Saccharomyces cerevisiae S288C: one gene and its partner. The protein of the gene in region 1 binds, or shares a complex with, the protein of each later gene. Each region holds a gene or a part of one and is shown in the gene's direction. Other genes may lie near its edges.

The links. Proteins that work in one complex are often made in the same cells at the same time.
Region 2: MRP49 (region 1) and MRPL9 share a complex: the UniProt entries of both Saccharomyces cerevisiae proteins name them as parts of the mitochondrial large ribosomal subunit.

Annotation. Positions count from the first base shown.
Region 1 is NC_001143.9:133,158-136,077, reverse strand, and holds MRP49 (mitochondrial 54S ribosomal protein mL61 MRP49), read left to right. Parts: upstream 1-1,943; coding exon 1,944-2,357; downstream 2,358-2,920. Other genes in the region: cAMP-dependent protein kinase catalytic subunit TPK3, read left to right, coding at 373-1,569; putative serine/threonine protein kinase KKQ8, read left to right, coding at 2,616-2,920. UniProt on the Saccharomyces cerevisiae protein: Component of the mitochondrial ribosome (mitoribosome), a dedicated translation machinery responsible for the synthesis of mitochondrial genome-encoded proteins, including at least some of the essential transmembrane subunits of the mitochondrial respiratory chain.
Region 2 is NC_001139.9:935,525-938,537, reverse strand, and holds MRPL9 (mitochondrial 54S ribosomal protein uL3m MRPL9), read left to right. Parts: upstream 1-1,654; coding exon 1,655-2,464; downstream 2,465-3,013. Other genes in the region: TOS2 (Tos2p), read left to right, coding at 1-1,414; exportin CRM1, read right to left, coding at 2,743-3,013. UniProt on the Saccharomyces cerevisiae protein: Component of the mitochondrial ribosome (mitoribosome), a dedicated translation machinery responsible for the synthesis of mitochondrial genome-encoded proteins, including at least some of the essential transmembrane subunits of the mitochondrial respiratory chain.

The DNA of each region.
Region 1 (2,920 bases):
GACGTTTCCGACGCATACTGGTGAACCACTTTCTTTTTAGTGAATAGCCTCATTATGCAGTTTCCGGTATTTTTTTTCCGTTGCTTCAGCTACGGGATTTCTTCGATGCCATTGAAAAATAAAGTTGTGTTCAATGAGAATATGGAAAGAAAAGACACTTTTTACCAGCTGATCTTAAAAGTTTTGTCTGCTTTATTACTTCTATCGGTAAGAAACTCGAGTGGACATACGAGACACTTTGTGCAGTCGTCGGAGAAAATTTATAGGCGATCACTCTTTAAGCAATAAGAAAGTTTCACGTATATTATTGAATAATACATTAATCATATTGTATATCGGTGGTTGTACAAGGAAAGAGCGAGCCTGCACAAAATGTATGTTGATCCGATGAACAACAATGAAATCAGGAAATTAAGCATTACTGCCAAGACAGAAACAACTCCAGATAACGTTGGACAAGACATTCCTGTAAACGCACATTCGGTGCATGAGGAATGTTCTTCCAACACACCCGTGGAGATAAATGGAAGAAACAGCGGAAAGTTGAAAGAAGAAGCGTCTGCAGGTATTTGTTTGGTTAAAAAACCAATGCTACAATATAGAGATACCTCAGGAAAGTATTCCCTAAGTGACTTTCAGATTTTAAGAACTTTGGGAACTGGCTCATTTGGGAGAGTTCACCTAATTCGTTCCAATCACAATGGGAGGTTTTACGCTTTGAAGACATTGAAAAAGCACACTATAGTGAAGCTGAAGCAGGTTGAACACACCAATGACGAACGCCGAATGCTTTCAATTGTTTCACATCCATTCATCATTCGAATGTGGGGAACGTTCCAAGATTCTCAGCAAGTTTTCATGGTAATGGACTACATTGAAGGTGGTGAATTATTTTCTTTACTACGTAAATCTCAAAGATTTCCCAACCCAGTAGCCAAATTTTATGCCGCAGAGGTATGCTTAGCGTTGGAATATTTGCACAGTAAGGATATAATATATAGAGACTTGAAACCAGAAAATATCCTTCTAGATAAAAACGGCCATATCAAGATAACCGACTTTGGCTTCGCAAAATACGTTCCCGATGTCACATACACATTATGTGGCACACCAGATTACATAGCGCCGGAAGTGGTCAGTACAAAACCGTATAATAAATCAGTGGATTGGTGGAGTTTTGGTGTGCTAATCTATGAAATGCTTGCCGGATACACTCCATTTTACAATTCGAACACCATGAAAACTTACGAAAATATACTGAACGCCGAATTGAAGTTCCCACCATTTTTCCATCCAGACGCGCAGGACTTATTGAAGAAGCTAATTACCAGAGACTTAAGTGAAAGGTTGGGTAACTTACAAAATGGAAGTGAAGATGTCAAGAACCATCCGTGGTTTAACGAAGTGATATGGGAGAAATTGTTAGCAAGATACATAGAAACGCCGTACGAACCACCAATCCAACAGGGCCAAGGTGACACTTCTCAATTTGACAGATACCCTGAAGAGGAATTCAACTATGGAATTCAAGGGGAGGATCCATATATGGATTTAATGAAAGAATTTTAAGGAGGTTCAGTGGGATAATTGTAATTGAAAAAAAAAAAAAATCAATAAAAGTAAAAACAAGAACAAGAAAAAGCACAAACAAACCTGGTTATAGATTCTTGGTGAGTCTAACAGGGCCATGATAAAAAAGTGACACATGCATATATGTACATGTATATATCTACGTACGTCTATTCAATAGAGGTGTATACAGATAAATAAAGGAGCATTCATATACGCCATATTGTGACTACATTTGCGTCCTCAGAAGACTGGGACGTTCAAAGTGATCTAGGACTTTTCACCCAGGGAAAACAGGATATCTGTAAGAATCGGCCATAAAACTCATTAATAGAAGAACAGTATAACATAAGTGAGCCTGCTACAATAAGAAGATGTCTAAGGTTGCACAACAGTTAAAATTTTTGAATAAAATTAGCGCCACTACCAGACTACCGCAGATTCTAGTCGATCCTAAAAAATACTCAGGTCTTAGATTGACTTTTCAAACGAAAAACCACAATGGACATATGGGTGCCAGAGTTTTTTGGCATAACTACCTACCCACTTTGCAGTTCTATAATCCAAGAATGAAGTTTGACGTGATAAGGATAAAGAACGAAGACAAGCAAAAAAGCGTTCCATGCAAACTGGAGATTTTATCTCATGAAGGCTCCGTTGTAGAGACTATTGATATGCGTAATAAAATGCATGAAGATATAATGAAAGACTTACTTGACAAAATAGAGCACGTTCCTCTTCCTGAAAATGAGATCATAAGAGTTGGACCGCAAGAAAGTATTATATAAGCTTTCTCTCGATAAGTTTGTTCATGTATATATCAAAAAACATTGCCCTTCATGGAAATATGTAAATTCAAAACTCACTTATGGGGCATATAAGTATATAATTTAGAGTACAATAAGTAGGATTGTGCTGAATATTGTCAGCCCTTGGGTCCCTTTTTTTGCCCTCCGCGTATTTCTTGTGGAAAATAAGGAAATTTCATTTTCACTTCAACTAGCTAGTTTAATTGCATGATGGACTCAAAAACATTGACAGCATCAATGGTAATGCAGGAGGAGAAGAAGCGGCAACAACCTGTGACAAGAAGAGTAAGGTCATTTTCTGAGTCCTTTAAAAACCTTTTCAGGCCGCCTCGTTCAAGAGATTCAAGTCCTATTAATGTCACCCGAATTCCTTATCGATCGTCTTCTACCTCACCCAAGAGAAGCTCTGAGCCACCAAGACGATCAACCGTATCCGCACAAATTTTAGATCCAAAAAATTCTCCAATACGCCAGCGTAGTTATACATTGAAGTGTTGCACCCCGGGCCTGTCACATCCATTTAGACAGACAGGAAGTGGTGC
Region 2 (3,013 bases), on another chromosome or scaffold:
CAAGTTATCGGTCCCCTCCAAGCACATTGACCTTTCGAATAAGATTTCTTTCGAATCGTTAGAGAATTCTGAGCTGATTGTTTCACCACAACACTCAAATACTGGGCAAGACTGTGATCAAAGATGTGATAGTACGTCAAATCCTGATGTAAATGAAAAGTCCAGCCATAACAACGATAATCGACTTAAATCGAATTATACGAGTCGTAGCGGGCTCGAGCCTCAGTGTTCGAGAGAGGAGGAAGAAAATATTGACAGAATAAGAAGCATTTATAACATTTATTTTGAGAAAAGTAATAGCACGATACGATCCTCTGTAACTTCTTCGATACGGCGTGACTCTAAATTAAACATCGCTACAAGAAAAAGTGTAAATATGAGCTCTCAAGACAATCCAAATGATACTACATTAATTGAACAGAGTCACTTCGGAAGTACAACTGTCCAAGAAATTGATTCCAGTTCCAGCGCCAATGAGGAATATGAAGATGCAACTGATTATCTGCAAGTGCCGGCACCACAAGAGAATAAAAACATTGCATCGTCAGTATATTCAGAAGTAGCAACCAGAGAAAAAGTGATTCCCGAATCGTCTCTATCTCTTACATTCCCACCACCGAATGGTCTTTCAACGAGAATTACCTCATCAATATATTCTGACACGGTCGCTAAGGACCATATTCACTCTGCAAAGGCTCCCGTACGGGCCCTTTCGGAGGGTTCGGGTCAGTCAAATCTTACTTCTGCTCAGCAATATTCTACATATTTTATAGATCACTGCAACCAGAGCAATGATGACAATTACTACTATAATTATCCCCTCCCGTTAGAACATCCTCAAAATTATGAGAACATCGGAGATTTGCCCACGCCTACCCAATTCATTTATTCCACCTCTTCGCATTCCTTGACGTCATTCAAAGGAAGGCCTAAACCTCCAAAAACACTAAAACATGTACCTACAGCTAGGCTTAATGGGACAGCGTTGAATCCAATGGATCATCCTGAAATGTTTTACAGTTCGCCTACGAAAATACCGTCAACATCTTTGACAAAGCAATTTTGTACGCCCCTTCCATATCAGCTTAGACAAAGTGTTGTTATGACCAACCCATCAGAACTTTCTATGAAACCTCGCTATAAGCCTGCAGGATCTTTAAGAAATTTAATAAAGGCCCAATATCTCCCTGGTAACTCATCCACTACAACATCATCTTCTTTATCACAACCGCCGTCAACGTTGTCAAATGCAATAAATTTCCGTGTTAGTGGGTTATTGGATGACACTGACATCTTGCAGCCTCCTAGTGTGGGGGAAATCTTACCTTTTAAAGCTTCTACGGAAGACTTAAGGAAGCAACTGGGCACATCCCATAATTACGAAATAACACCGTACGAGAATGTACATGTATAAATAAAATTCAAAATCATGAAATGTTGTAACAGTAAATAAGCACCATAAATTCGTTTCTCGATGATCCTCTTCTTTCCTTAATTGAAATGCTAATGCCATTTCTCCTATTACAGTCGCGAGATATTTGTTTTCGGGTAATCCCTTGTCAAACGAACTTTATTGAAAAATATATGGACGATAAATTGACAACTGGGACGAGAAAGGGCAACTCTTTGAAAGCAAGAGAGAACAAATATAGCCATGTCGAAGTTCCTACAGGGATCAATATTTAGCATATCAAAACTTCATGTTAGATATTCTTCTACTCGGCCTTTTCTAGTGGCTCCTAGTATTGCTAACAGTATAACAACCGAGGCTCCAGCGATTAATCACTCACCTGAACTGGCAAATGCGAGAAAATGGCTACCAAAAAGATGCGGTTTAATTACTCGTAAGAAGGGAATGATGCCTTATTTTGATAAATCTACTGGTGAAAGAAGCGCCGCTACTATATTAGAAGTTAATAATGTTGAAGTAATAATGCATAGAACTTCGGAGGTCAATGGGTACTTCGCGTGTCAAGTAGGGTACGGATCAAGGCATTTGTCTAAAGTTAGCAGACAAATGCTTGGTCATTTCGCTTCTAAAGTTGTTAACCCAAAAGAGCATGTGGCCGAATTCCGAGTTAAAGATGAAAAGGGATTAATACCACCTGGCACATTATTGAAACCCTCTTTTTTCAAAGAAGGCCAATATGTTGACGTCAGATCAGTCAGCAAAGGCAAAGGTTTTACTGGTGTGATGAAAAGGTATGGATTCAAGGGTTTGAGAGCATCTCATGGTACATCTATTATGCATAGACACGGTGGTTCTTATGGTCAAAACCAAGACCCAGGTAGGGTACTGCCAGGAAGAAAGATGCCTGGTCATATGGGAAACGAGCATGTTACTATCCAAAATGTTAAAGTTTTGAAAGTCGACGATGAAAATAATGTTATTTGGGTTAAAGGCTCTGTGGCTGGGCCCAAAAACAGTTTCGTTAAAATTCAAGATGCAATCAAAAAAACTTGAGCATAAGGCGTATAAGTATTTTACTACAATCATGTACATACATCAATAATAACAATAAAATGGGTAATCACTTAAGAATCTTCAAATAATATTCTTTACTTTTCCATGAAGTTGGCTAAATAGTATTTAGTACTATATTAGAGTATTGGAACTTTGAAGAACCAATTTACATACAATATGAAGTGAAAAAGAAATGAAAACCCCGTGGTTATAAATTAGAGACTAGTTAATAAAAGGGAAAAAATATTGGAAATTTAAAGAATGATACGCCACCGCCTCTAATCATCAAGTTCGGAAGGTTTTAATAACCCACCAATCTTGGCAGCTTTTTCCCTCTCTAGTCTATTCTGTTCCATTAATGCATTCTCTTTATCTTCAGCAAACAAATAATCTGTTGGATCACCTCCGACTTCTTTGATTTGCACCAAAAAGTCCCTCAAAGTGCCTTTGAAGACCACTAAGTCTTTGTATTGTTTAGTTAATGCAGAGAGAAAACTTGCGATTTGTTCGGATGTTAAATGGGGGAATGCATTACTTAACATATTAGCC